Linked DNA regions of Anolis sagrei. The protein of the gene in region 1 interacts with the protein of each later gene in a pairwise test. Links are inferred from orthologs where the notes say so. Each region holds a gene or a part of one and is shown on either strand. Other genes may lie near its edges.

What was found.
Region 2: the proteins of TOLLIP (region 1) and TOM1L1 interact in binary tests that used the Homo sapiens proteins (3 or more experiments, as listed by UniProt). The link is inferred for Anolis sagrei from reciprocal best matches to the Homo sapiens genes TOLLIP and TOM1L1.

What each region holds. Positions count from the first base shown.
Region 1 is NC_090021.1:243,081,957-243,089,618, reverse strand, and holds the start of TOLLIP (toll-interacting protein), read left to right. Parts: upstream 1-4,646; 5' UTR 4,647-4,774; coding exon 4,775-4,807; intron 4,808-7,662. UniProt on the Homo sapiens protein: Component of the signaling pathway of IL-1 and Toll-like receptors. Inhibits cell activation by microbial products. Recruits IRAK1 to the IL-1 receptor complex. Inhibits IRAK1 phosphorylation and kinase activity.
Region 2 is NC_090022.1:142,895,273-142,902,585, forward strand, and holds the start of TOM1L1 (TOM1-like protein 1), read left to right. Parts: upstream 1-4,305; 5' UTR 4,306-4,592; coding exon 4,593-4,650; intron 4,651-7,313. UniProt on the Homo sapiens protein: Probable adapter protein involved in signaling pathways. Interacts with the SH2 and SH3 domains of various signaling proteins when it is phosphorylated. May promote FYN activation, possibly by disrupting intramolecular SH3-dependent interactions.

The DNA of each region.
Region 1 (7,662 bases):
TTTGTAAGTATTATCTATTCTGTTCCAGTATATTCAGTGTAGGAAAGACAATGCAGACACAGAGCCATGACTAGCCATTTTCCCATGGGCCTAAAAATTAGCTTTGGAAATTGTTTTTTGTCTCTTCTTTTAAAAATAGCAGACAGAACATATATTTCAACATAGTAGCACAGTTATAATCTGACAAGTGCTGTGTATTTATGTGCCTTCAGATGGCGACCCTATCCATTTCATAATTTTTCCTAGGCTAGGAATACTCAAAGGCAGTTTTGCCAGTTGCTTCCTCTGAAACATAGCCTAGAGCTCCTGGTATTCCTTGAGTCTCCATTCTAAGTACTATCCAGGGCTAACCCTGCTTAGCTTCTGAGATCAGATAGGGTCTAAAGCCTGTAGGAAATTTTGCCTACCATTTATTTATTTCAATTAAAATATTTTATCCCATTCTTTTATCATGCAATCCCACTTGTTAAAATTTCACAAAAATAGTGAAATTCTATTTCATGGTCACAGCAAAGAGAAACTTCCCCCTAAATGAAACACAGCATTGCTGAAGCATGCTGAGGATTTTTATTTATTTATTTATTTACTTTGCTTCTATACCGCTGTTCTCAGCCGGGGGCGACTCACAGCGGTGTACAACATAGGAAAAAACAAATACAAGACACAGTATAAAACCAATTCACAATCCATTTTTGGAATAATCTCTATTGAACCAAAAGTCAGTTTTATTTTTTCCTGGCTCTGCTGTCCTAACAGAATTAAAAAACAGGATTTTTCCCCCCAACTCTCACTGGAATTAAAAGACTGTGAATGGCTAAATAAACCTTTCATTCACACCTGGCTGACTAAATTGAATCCAGTCACATTGCTCATGTGGGGAGGTAGTCACCCCTCCACATTCAAGTGAATGCCACCTTTCTATGCCCTGTTAATTACATGACATCATAATCATTTTATTTATGGGTGCCAGCACAGTGATAATACAGAGCATCTTCTCATACGTGCAATACAATGATGCATAAAAATGTGTTATAAATTTAGAAAGCTCTTAATTGCACAATTCTATTTCCAGCTGTTGGGATCTGCTGCATGAATTTTAATTAATGACTGAATTAATGCTGCAGATCTTAGCAGCTGGAAACAATATTATTTAACTAGGCTTTAAAATGAGCAAATTTTATATCCCAGTACAGCACTTAGATTAATATTCAAGTTGTCTTTGTTCTGTTGAAGAGACTGGAATTACACAAGGGGTTGTGGGAGGCCAATGCTAAATGTGAGGTAACTGTCATTTGTTTCAGACAATCTAATGTGAAAGAGAATTGGCTCTTCCTGTTATAACACTGGCTGCCTGTGAGGTTGGGACCCACAGTTTTAAGAAGAGATCTAGAGGACCTCAAGACCCCCAACTCTAAAGCGCTGGGCAGCTAGTTCATTTTGAGCACTTTCTTTACCATGTTCTTTAGGGCTGACTAGTTGCTCAGCCTTTTGCTGACTCCACAAGGTCATTCCACAGTCTTGGGGCGGCCAATTAAAAGATCCTCTGAGTGACAGTCACTAGTCAGGTTCTGGCTGGCTGGAGTAGATGCCCCCCCCCCCCCCAGGACCTCAGTGTTTGGGGAAGATTATATGGGAGAAGGTGATCCTGTAGTTAATTTGAACTATGTAGACTGTTGCACTCCAGAACAGGAAAAGCCCTCTGACTTTAAAACACACCACACAATGAGTGAAAAAACAAATCCTTTTTATTGAAGCTTAGTAAAATAGCCCGTAGAAAGAAATGCTTGTAAGAAAATAGGAAAGTAAAAAGTAAAAGGTCAGTAAAATGCAGTAACTCAAAGCAATGTCCACAAAAGATATAAAAGCAATCTAAGGCAGTATTTATCCAGATAGGAATCAAACAAGATGCAAAGACCATCCTGGCGTTGCTAATCAACACCAAAAGGCTAGAAGTATCCATAGGAACAAGACCCCTAAAACAGGATTTCCATGGCACATGAACTTAATCTAACAGGTTTTCCCTTGAAGCAAACCTTATATCCCCAAATCCAGAAACTGGTTTCATTTCCCCCCACCTTTGGCTCTTATCTGACGAAGCCTTTCGGAACGGTGTAAACCTTGAGTTTGTTGTCGATCCAGGCTGAACTCCAGCCGCCTGTTTTTCAACTCCCTTTCTGGCTGCTCATTAAAATTTCCAGGTGTCAGATTGTTTTCCAAACCCAAATCTTGAGAGCTCACAGAGAGAGGGAGTAAACCATCATCCCTATGCCCAGCAGGAATATTCTCATGAGAAAGTGCCCTTTGCGCTGGGGCCTCTCTGTCATTGTCTGCATGAAAATCATTGACCAAACCATCTCCATCTTGCATCTCAGCACCATCATTTTCCTCATCATATCTCACAGCACTGCCCACATCATTTCCCACTTCAAAAGCATCATCAGAAGCATCATGATCCTGGAACACAAACACAGGTTGATTCCCAACACAGACAAGGTTGTAGTCCAGGAGTGGGGATAGGGGTCCCCCCCCCCATTTTTTTCAGGTTAACCCCCCCCCCCCGGTTCACTTATGAATTTAACTGGTTAACCAAATCCCTATGCGAAGTCTATGAGAAGCAAAAATTAAACAAGTATCTCCAGAACCGCAAGCACTATCTCAAGCAAATGTTGACAATTTATTCACACTATCATTAGTTGTAGCAATAGCTGATATAGTGGATACAACCAAGTTGGCCCATCCATAACTGGCAGGCAAAGGCTAAGGCATTGAGACGGAGGGGGGGGGGAGGGGATTTGAAGGCTCTCATGAAGGAGACCAGACTTGGTGGGTGTAGTTGACAGGGGCGGAGCTGCAGGCTATTTAAGGCTGCTTTTCCCCTGCTGTGCCCTTTGCTTCAGTGTGAGCTGGAGGCAGGTTCCTGATGGGGAATTAGGCCTTCCCCTCCTTGCTCCCCTGCTCCCCTTTTCCAGATAGTAGGGTTCCCATTGCTATGCCTATATATAGGCTGTTTTCAACTCTTAAACGTTTGAAAACATACATGAGCACAATGGGGCAAGAAAGTTAAACTGGACTTGCACTCTTGAGTGTCCACTGAAGTTTTCAGTGGAGTCTGATTTCTGTCAAGGTGTACTGAAACATTTTTCAAATGTTTCCAACAGACGTTTTGGTATTCTTTTGTAAGTATAAATTACAAATTAACAGTCATTTTCAGTTATTTTAAGACTTTAAACTTTGTAACTAAACTAGAAAATTGATTTAATTAATCCTATATAAAATATAGAATGAACCATAGTATTTAAATTATTTTGTGTTATGGAACTACTCTTCACAATTTGCTAAAAAAAAAGTTTCACCCCACCCCCAATTTTTTTTTCTGGCTATGGCCATGCATGTAGGGTTTTAAGGGTCAAAGCCAACACTTTCTACTTCTCCCAGAAACTAATTGACAGCCAGTGGAATGACTTTAGTATAGGTATAGTATGCTCACTCCTGGATGTTCTTGTAACCAATCTAGTTGCTGTGTTCTGAACTAATCGGGAGTTTCCGAACTTGGTACAAAGGTAGCCCAATGTAAAGTGCATTGCAGAAGTCCAACTTTGAGGTTACCAGCATGTGCATTACCACCTTCAGGTCACCCAAATCTAGGAAGGGGTGCAGCTGGCAGTAAGCACTCCTGACGGTCACATCTCCCTGGGCTGAGATTTGGGTCCAGGAGCACTCCAAGCTGCAAACACAATCTTTCGGGGGGAGTGTAACTTCATCCAGGTCTGGTTGACACACCTCCATCCTCAAGTTAGGACCCTTGGTGGCAGGTACCGCTGTCTTGTTTGGAGTCAGTTTCAATTTATTTTTCCTCCTCCAGCCCATTACCTCCTCCAGGCATTCATTCAGAGGAGACAGGAGTCTTTGCTAGAGCTACAGTGCTTCTACACTGTGGAAATAAAGAACTTTGACACTGGTTTAATTGCTATATGGCTCAGTCATGTAATCATGGCAGTTGCAGTTTTACAAGGTCTGCCAAATAGTGCTGGTGCTTCCCTAAACTACAACTGCCATAATTCCATAGACATTCAACCATGGCAATTAAAGTGGTGTCAATCTGCATTCTTCCTACAGTGTAGGCTGCCCGGAGTGAGCGAACTACACATATTATATGGAAGTGAAGAGAACCCATCCGAACTGATTCCATCTACGTCTTCCTCCTCTGATCTATGGCCTTGGAGGACTAAGGACGGCGCCACGCCCACTCCGGCAAAGGCGGCCAATCGGGATCCGCCGAGGGCGTGGCTTCCCTCCTGTGAGTCAGCAGAAGCGCCCCTCCCCTTTGCAGCGCGTTGCCTGGGTCAACGTTGTGACGTCACTGAGCACCAGTTTCAAAAGGCTGTCGCCCATCATTGGCTTTACTGCGCAGCCGTTATTAGTGTTTCAAAGCAAACTGAGGACCACTAGGCTCGCGCGGGGGCGCGCACGCGCCCGTCCGCTCTTCCCAACATCCGCAAGGCTCTTAACGATGGGAAAAGACGGGCGCCCATTGGCAGCCGGCTCATACTCCTCTTGGCGCATGCGCGGGGCCGATTAGCGGTTCCTGAGGCTGAGGGGGCGGGGGTGGGAGCGTCTTCTGCGCATGGGCAGTGGCGGATAGCGGAGAGCCGGGGGCGTGGCCAGGCGGCGGCGAAGGGAGCGCGGTCAGCTGACTTGGGCTCGCGGCACGGGCTCCGGCGGAAGGAGGGCGCGAGGGGACGCGCGAGGGACCCCGCGGCCTGAGGGAGTTGCCATGGCGACCACCGTGAGCACTCAGCGCGGCCCGGTGAGTCCCGGCGTCTGCGAGAGGAAGAAGGCTCCTGGGCGGAGGCTGGCGTGGGCTGACGAGGAGACACCCCGGCCTTTGGAATGGAGGAGGCCTTCTTGGGTCCTGTGGACCGAGAGGGTCCCTTTCTCTGCGTTCCAGGCAGAGAGGGAGGGCTGCGAGGGTTGCGCTCTCCCGGGTGACTCCTCGCGCTTTGGCAGTGTCCTCGCCTTCAGACACGCCAGATGAGGCGAGGGGCACGGGGACTCTTGCAGGCCCACGGAAAATACAACGCCGTGTTGAAACTATGGCTGGATCTACACTGCCAGATAACGCCTTTTGAACTCCATTTGTCAGTGTAGGCCAGGCATGGGACAACTTGGGCCCTCCAGATGTTTGGGACTTCAACTCCCACCATTCCTCACAGCCTCAGCTCTAAGGACCCGAGACTGTTAGGAATGGTGAGAGTTGAAGTCCAAAACCCTGGAGGGCCCAAGTTTGCCAATGCCTGGTGTAAACCCAGCCTGAGACGCAGCTTTCCCACATTTCTCCCCTTCTGCTACTGGCTATGTGCTGCCAGCATCCCACATCCGAAATGAACTGCAGAAATTATACCAAAGAATGCTGCTTCTGAAAAACTGGGCGTCCTGACCTCAAATGGGTTCCCTTACTTTACCTCAGTGCTGCGGATCAGGAAAAATATGACACCAGTAAAAGGTTTCTGAAGGCCACCCATTTATGGAAGTCGGTTGGCAACAGCACCCGGTGTTAGGACTTCAGAAAAGGCTTCAGGTATCTATATAAATAAAAACATAATGTTCGTTTGTGGTATTAACATAACTCAAAAACCACTGGACGAATTGACACCAAATTTGGGCACAATACATGTATCAGGCCAATGAGTGGCCATCACTCATAAAACACTGAAAAACACAGCAGAAGAGACATAAAAAGCAAAACAAAACAAATTTATATATATTACAAAGCATGCGCAAACCCATATATACACGCACATACACATGCAAACACTTATACACAATTATATATACACACAAAACATATACACGGACTGAGCCACAGCAACCCGTGGCAGGGGAGGGCTAGTGCTTCATAAACAGGAAAAATCGGCCTGTTTAGCAAGCCTTGCAAATGTTGATTTACTACACTGGCCAACACACATTTTGTTCCCCATATATTAGCCCTGTTTCTGGGTATATTTGACCTGCTGATTCAAAAAATGGCACCAGTTTCCACCTATCAGCTTTAGTTTTTCAGATACAGAACATATGCGTCTGCTAGTTGTTACCTGCTCATCCACAGAAAACCATGGTAACTAACTAAGAAACTAGAGCTGAAGTAGTGTATCCAGTGCAAGTTTCAGAATCAGCATCCTGAATAATCCCAGGAACAGACCTAAAAGCTAAGACACCATATTTTATTTTATTTATTTGATTGGGCTGTGTTATCAGTAAACAAATGTTTGATTTTTTTAATACGAATTTTATATACCTATATACCTGGGATCATGGAAAATTTCTCAGACAGAATAGGAATGGAAAAGGTTTAAGGAAAACCTACTTTTGAGAAAGACTTCGATTTATAGTAGAGAGGTGCATATTTAGGCCAGCAAGTTGGGAAGTCATGTGCTAAAGATCATTGTACTATGATGCAGGCCTATGGTTCAGAGCAGTTCAGCCTGGAAAGGCTCAGCTGACTTACATAGTGGTGTATAAATCTAAACATTTTAGTCAAAATATCAACCGAAAAATATGGCTTCACTTATCCACAGGCCAGTGTTGAGCACACTGTGACCTAACTCTTACAATAAATGGAACCATTCCCTTCTCTGAGTAGAGTTACAAAAAGCAAGAGCTTAGTCTATCCTGGGAGAACCTAAAAGAAGCACTGATTGCTTCCACTCTATCAGAATTCATTATTTGGGCTCCCAAATCTTCCCTCAATTTATACATGAGGTTTGATTATACAGTAAATGAGTATACACAGTAGACTGCAGAACTATGACCTTGACATGTGGCAGTTTGGGAATAAAAATGTTTTAGATTTCAGATTATTATTTTTGGGAAGGATTTTGAAATATTGAGATACTTGGAGATGGTATCACTGTTTTAACACTACATTCATTTTTGTTTGATATACACCTTAGACTCATAGACTGAATGTAATTTTATACAATATTGCTAATAATGTTCTGCATGGAACCAAGTTTGTGTACAGTACACCATGAATTGTGATATCACTATCTCAGCCACAATTTTAGATTTTGGAGTTTTTCAGAATTTTGGATAAGAGATGTTCAACCTGTCGGAAACCCCTGGAAGAGCCCTCCATTGTCTGTGAATAGGATTTTTCTGAGTACTGAAAAAAACGATTTTTGCTTTATTATTTTAAAAGGGCCAAGAGAGATTTAGCACAACATACCACTTAGCAGAGAGAGTTGTCTTGTGGAAAGCTTCACAGTCTTGTTTTATCTTCTTATGTATGTAGGGCCACAAATACCCTGAAGAAAACAGTTCCCATCTGATCTTGGAAGCTATGCAAGGTCATCCCCTGGTTAGTACTTGGGTAGGAGCCTGCCAACAAATACCAGGTGTTGTAGACTACATTTCAGAAAAAGGAACTGCTCTTGTGTATGCCTTGACAAAGTAAATCCTGTGAAATTTATGAGGTTGCCATTATGTCAGCAGGAAACTTGAAGTCACATATGCACACATACATTCCCTCTGAGGAAAGGTGTCATTCTTCTCTTCCCAGAGACATATGTGTCAGAAGGGCATCAACTTCCAATAGTCTAGGCTGACCTCTTCCTTTCTGATATATTCCAAAGTCTTTGGAACATAAATGCCAGGTTTATGGGG
Region 2 (7,313 bases), on another chromosome or scaffold:
GGGAGTTGCCCTGAGAATATCAGTCTACACATCAAAGGTGGGGGCAGGACAGATGGAGACAGGGAGAGAGTCAGTCTACCAACTTAGACCCTATCTACTTTTGATCCATTTCCTATCATGAGCACTGCTTTCTTATGTAGAGCATAATTGAATTCCAACATATGGAGAGGTGACTGTATATGCACAGCTTCTAGAATCCCCCATGCTGACTGGGGAATCCTGAGAGCTGCAGTTTAGGAAAGTAAGTTTTTCAAACTCATTTCAGAACTCATGTAAGGAGTTCTCAGGTTGACTTACATTTCTGGTAAATTCTACACCATAAGTGATTCCAAGTTATAAGCAATTAAATGTAATGAGCCTATGTACTTTAATTTTCAAAGTTCTTTACTTTAGAAAAACCATTTCACTTTACCACATAAATGACCAATTATGAAAGAGGGCACACCCTGCACAGTATCCCCTAATACACACTTTAAAATGTTTTATTTTACCCTAAAATGTCGTCTAAAGGACATGAGGACATTCTCGCCATGTTTTGAAGCCCAGGTGAGTCCTGTTTTAACAATGAGAAGTCAGTGGAAGCCCATTCCTATTCAAAAAAGCCCTCTCTCATTCCTCAGACATTGTGGAAATGGCTTCCACGCTCCCTGGATGGCATTTGGGGACACAAATTGACCCCTGAGGCCCAAAAAATGTTTGGACTTCTTATACAATTTTGTGAATGAAGCAAAGTGATTGCCCACTTTAGAGGAATTTTATTTTGTAGAAACACTCTTCCTTGTTCACAAAATTATATAAAACTCCAAAGTTTGTGGTCGTCTACTTGCAATCCTCTTATGTCTTCTCACATCTCATTTATTTTTGTTTCCGCACACAATGTGTAAAGGAGGAAATGGCAAAAGGGCTGTAACATGTCTTTCATTTGGTAGTGAAGGGAGGAAGACTTTCACCTGGAAGCGCCTTTCCCAGTTGATATTTTATTTATCCCACAGCAGTCTGTCATGCCATGGAACATTTCCATCTCGCATCCCACTGTCTGAAGCTGTATTCCCCTCTTCAACCTGCAGCACCAGAAATGCCAACTGTTTGCTAGAGATTTGCCCTCAACAATGTCCAAGACCTACATGTGAAATCTGCAAAAAAGATGGATAACAAAGCCTTCAGTGACTCTTGACTTATGGTTGTCCAAGGATGCCATCTGGCTTGAAACTAAGCAGCCAGCCTGGCTTCTTAGCAAAGCTTTGGTGTGCCAAAATCATCAGGTGCAGTGCTTTCACCCTGGAATGGAGTTAAATAATTACATCTAAAAATAAAGAAGTCTTAGTGTTTGAATCCAACCCAAGTTCCCAACAAGGGCTTCCTTTTCAGCCACGGCCATTACGTTAGTAGGACAAGTGACAGCAGATTAATCAATGTCATGCACTTTGAAGGATATAAGTTGAATCTCCAGGGGTGCATCTACAGTGCAAAATTAATGTAGTTTGAAACCACTTTGTCCATGCTCAGTGCTATGTAATAATGGAAGCTGTAGTTCATTGAGGCAGCAACACTCTTTGGCAGAGAAGGCAAAAGGATTCCAAAGCATTGAGGGATGGGAGTTCAAGAGGTGTCTACAGTGTACATGCTCCCTGGGATTTCCACTTTAAAGGACCAGGGAAGTGGGTTTCATTGCATGAAATCCTAGAAAGCCTCTGCCAAGGAGAGAAGACAATATTATGCAAAATGGAAAAAGAGTACATTGGTATAAAAATAATAGAAATAATGTATCTTGATAACTGGAACCAATGAGGTTCAGTGATTCAAGTATTGGACTAAACCATGGAAGCACACTGAGTGACCTTGGGCAAGTCACACTGTCTCAGACGAAGACAAATGGTAAACAATCCTCTGAGAAAATGTTGCTGAAAAAATCCTATGCATAGTTAGGTACAGTTACTGTACAGATGTTAGGAAATATTGCTCAAAAATGCATGTGTTTATGTGTATCATTACATGCGTATAGATTTTTTTAATTGCAGTTCTTTTTCATAAATATGCAAATAAAAATTAAAAATATTTAAATAAAAATATTGTGCTGGGTTCACTTTATGTTCACACTAAGTCAAAAAGGATTTGATGAAAGACAATAATTATGTATGCTGATGTATCTAATGTCTATCTAAGGCTGCTTTATCTAGGCATGTTGATGTGATAACATAATAAAAAGTGAAAGAAACTCACAATATTTTGCGTTCTTTCCTCCACCATACTGAGGCAGCAGACAAGAGTTTACGGGTAATTATAGTGAGTTACAGGTTTCTGGAGAAGGACTGCTGGTGAGCCCATGAGAAACAGTGAGAAGGAAGGCTGTCATTGCTACTGCAAAGCATGTGCCACCTGGTTAATGGTAGGACTGGCCCTTTTCACAGTCTTGTTTTGCTTCCAGAAGTCTAGCATTGTCCACATATGGTATCCACAAGGTTTAGTTCCAGGATCCCCTGTAAATACAAAAAGTGATGGCTGCTCAAGTTCCATTATATGCAATGGCCTTTATATAACATGGCAAAATCAAGGTTTGCTTATGGAATTTTCTTTAATATTTTCAAGCTGTAAATCCATGGATGCAGAAACTCACATTTAAAAGAAAAGATGGGGGAATGGAACTGAGACATTCAGAGGTCAAGTTCTCCACCTGTCCACAAAGGTCCCTTTTACACTGCCATATAATTCAGATTATCAAAGCGGACATTCCACATTATCTGCTTTGAACTGGATTATATGAGTCTACGCTGTCATATAATCCAGTTCAAAGCAGATAATCTGGATTTAATTTGACAGTGGAGAAGGTGCAAGAGTCCTGAACCGTCCTATGATTTGAAAATATGAGGGCAGAATTAAAAAGCATTGCCATGTTAATCTGGAATATCCATACATCTAAGAAAGTAGCCTCGACTATCCACATTTATGCAATCCATTTTTTTCTCAGTGAGTCTCTATATTCCAAATACATGTGTTTGTGTATGAATAGCATCATACATCACTCTTACCCACAAAACAAAGTTAAAGTAGTGTCTGTGCAACTGCAGAAGGGTTGCAAATTTCAAAGCTTTGGACATGTTGGTTGTCATTCAAAGTCATAAAGAATGTTACGGGTGAATCTGCACCATAACATTGATGCAGTTTGTCACCACTCTAAATGTCAGTGTATTACAAACTTTTCAACATCTTCCAAGGAGTTCTGGTGCCTCACCAAGTGACAATGCTGGTTGCTTCTGCTTCACCACACTAAAACAGTGGATGTGGCTCTTAATGAGACATGACGCATTATCACGGGGTGTCTGCGCCTTACACCACTGGAGAAATGACACTGTCTAGCCGGTATTGCACCACCTGACATCCGCTGGGAAGTGGCAGCCAATAGTGAAAGGACCAAGGCAGAGACATCTCCAGCTCATCCCCTGTTTGGGTATCAGCCAACACGTCAATGACCTAAATCCAGACATCGTTTTCTAAGATCTACAGAGACATTCGCTGGAACACCTCAGCAAGTGAGAATCTAAAAGTGGCAGGCTCAAACCCAGAACCTCAACCAATGGCTGATACCAAATGAGAAACTCCCCCCTGGGCACACAGAGGACTGGGCGACTTGGAAGGCGCTGAACAGACTGCGCTCTGGTACCACGAGATGCAGAGCCAACCTTAAGAAATGGGGCTACAAAGTGGAATCCTTGACATGCGATTGTGGAGAGGAGCAAACCACTGACCACCTGCTGCAATGCAACCTGAGCCCAGTCACATGCACAATGGAGGACCCTCTTGCAGCAACACCGGAGGCACTCCAAGTGGCCAGATACTGGTCAAAGGACATTTAATCAACTACCAAACTCACACATTTTGTATTTTCTCTGTTTGTTTGCTTTGTTCTGTTAGAAATGTAATATAATTGACTGGCTGCCCTGACACGAGAAATACTGTTTACCCACAAGCAGAAAGAAATTACATATATTAGAAATCAAAACTTTCTCATTATTTTCCAGATCAGCAGACTGGGCCACAGCAACGCGTGGCAGGGGAAGGCTAGCAAATAAATAAATAAACCGTGAGAGAGAAGGCTGCCAATGCTATTGCAAAGCACGTGCCACATGGCTAATGGTAGGGCTGGCCCTTTTCACATGGAGTTTGCTGAAGCACTAGCACGCCTTGGCAGAGAAGGCTACAGATCTTGTAAAACTACAACTCCCGGGATTCCCATAGCATTGAGCCCCAGCAGTTCAACTTTATTCATTGCACAGTGTAGATGCATCCTGAGCCGTGTTTGGCTGGGGGAGAAAGAGGAAGTCCCTCCTCTGCGTGGTCAGGGCTGCTGCGCCCCTTCTCTCTCCTCCTCTCCCTCTTTCTCTCTCTGTGTGTTTCTCTCTTGCGTTTCCCGGGGAGGATCCTCGGCCAGGAGCCCCACCTGGAGCTTCCCTCTGGCTCCTCCTCCTTGGAGCGGAGACGGAGCCTGGCTCCCAAACGGCAGGAGCCCGAGTCCAAGGAAGCAGCAGCAGGAGCAGGAGCAGGAGCAGCAGCGACTCCCGGGCCAAGTCCCTCTCTTTCTTTTGGGAGACCAGAACATGGCTTTCGGGAAGAGCCAGAAGGACCCCTTTGGTACCGCCGTGGGGCACCTGATCGGTAAGGATAAGCCCTCCTCTCTTCTTGCCAACGGAAGGGCATCTACACTGTAGAGTTAATACAGTTTGATTCCACTTGAACTGCTATGGAAGCATGAGGGTTGGGGAGAGGGATCCTTGGTAGGGAAAGCTAAGACTTTGTGAAACGACACCTCCCACTCTTCCATAGAATCCAGCCATGGCAAGGTAAAGTGGGGTCCAAGCCGTATTCATTGTACAGTGGAGATCAGGCATTGGCAAACTTCAGCCCTCCAGGTGTTTTGGACTTCAACTCCCACAATTCCTAACACCCAAGTTGGCCCATGCCTGGCATAGATGGACTTCGGGGTTGGGTTTGAATTGGAAAGGAAGCGAAAAGAACTTCAGTTGTCTCGACTCCAGGTTCAGGCTGTCCAGGAATGAAGCTTCTTTCCTTATGATATTTATATTATACTAGCCGTCGCCTGCCACACATTGCTGTGGCTCAGTCTGCTGATCTGGAAAATAAAGTAATGAGAAAGTGGGTTGTTGTAGGTTTTTTTGGGCTATATGGCCATGGTCTAGAGGCATTATCTCCTGATGTTTCGCCTGCATCTATGGCAAGCATCCTCAGAGGTAGTGAGGTCTGTTGGAACTAGTAAAACAGTTCCAACAGACCTCACTACCTCTGAGGATGCTTGCCATAGATGCAGGCGAAACGTCAGGAGAGAATGCCTCTAAAACATGGCCATACAGCCTGAAGAAACCTACAACAACCCAGTGATTCCGGCCATGAAAGCTTTTGACAATTTAATGAGAAAGTGTTGTTTCTAATATATGTAATTTCTTTATGCTTGTGGGTAAACAGTATTACCTCTGAGGATGCTTGCCATAGATGCAGGTGAAACATCAGGAGAGAATGCCTCTAGAACATGGCCTTATAGCCCGAAAAAATCTACAGCAACCCAGTATTTGATTACGTTTTCTTGCCCTGGTGAAGTGAGTTGGACTTGATGGCCTTAAGTATTTTGTATTGGTCATAGAGGTTCTTTGTGGGAAGTTTGCCCCAATTCTATTCTTCGTGGGGTTCAGAATGCTCTTTGATTGTAGGTGAACTATAAATCCCAGCAACTACAACTCCCAAATGACAAAATCAATTTTTTTAAATGAAGGGCATACATTGGGTTGCTAGGTGTCTTGTGTCCAAATTTGGCAACAATTCATTCAGTGGTTTTTGAGTTCCGTTAATCCCACGAACGAACATTACATTTTTATTTATATAGACTAGCTTGGGGACCAGCTATGCCTGGGTTATTTGAGTGTTGGGCCTGTGTACCAAGTTTGGCCCAGATCCATCATTGGTAGGGTTCACAATGCTTTCTGGATGCGAGGTGAACTACTGCTGATCGAATCCGGGGAGTTTGAATCTGGGGAGTGGGTGAGTTTCCACCTGTCAGCTCCAGCTTCTGCGGGGACATGAGAGCAGCCTCCCATAAAATGGTAAAACATCTGGGCATCCCCTGGGCAACATCCTTGCAGACAGCCAATTCTCTCACACCAGAAGCAACTTGCAGTTTCTCAATTCACTCCTGACACAAAAAACCCCAAACACATCAACAAAAGAATAAATAATAGAGGGGGGAAGGGATTAAAAGCTTGCTTGAAATCTCCAAGTACTTGCTCCCTTTAAGTTAAGACTTTCTCCTGGCCATTGGGTTGGACCTATGGTGTATCTAGTACATTGTAGAATCCATGCAGTTTGACACCAATTATTTATTTATTTATTTACTATACTTGTATACTGCTTTTCTCAGCCTATCGACGACTCAAGGCAGTTCTGCCAAAGAGCGCTGGTCCCTTACCAAACTACAACTACCGTGGAATCCTGGTAGTTGTAATTTTGTAAGGGACCAGCACTCTTTGACAGAGAAGGCAAAAGACCTTATAAAACTACAGCTTCCATGATTCCACAGCACTGGCTGCTTCTACATTGTAGAAATCATGGAGTTTGATGTCGCTTTAACTATCATGGCTCAGTGCTATGGACGCATGGCAGAGAAGGCTAAAGACCTTGTCAAACTACAACTCCCATGATTCCATAACATTGAACTGTGTTGGTTAAAGTAGTGTCTAACTGCATTGATTCTACTGTGTAGCTGTAGCCCTAGAATTATAGAGTTGGAAGAGGTCACAAGGGCCATCAATCAGGCAAGAAAACACAACCAAAGCCCTCCCAACAGATGGCCATCCAGCCACAGCTAGGAGACTTTACCAAGGCAGTATATTTCACTGCCAAACAACTCTTACCATCGTGAAGTTCTTCATAATGTTTAGGTGGAATTTCTTTTCTTATTTTTTTAATCTATTGTTCTTTATGACATCATTTTAAATGTCATCATATTTAAACAGGGTTATCACATCGACTCTTACCTTTCTCTTTACATCAGCTCCCAACATCCACAACCAGAATGCTGTCCCTTGGCTGGGGATGGTTATTGGCTTGTTAGTTGCTTTCGTCTGGAGTGGCCCAAAGGGCACACTGGTCTTATTGTTAGGATAAGAAAGAGAGTGACTGGATTAAGGTGATTTGTATGTGCTCACAAGCCACAGCTTGTATCGTTTGAGCCATCATTCAGTTGAAAGAGAAAACTGCATTAATCTGTTTCAGTGTCAAAACATAGGAGTGGAAAGAGTCTTGTGGTGGTT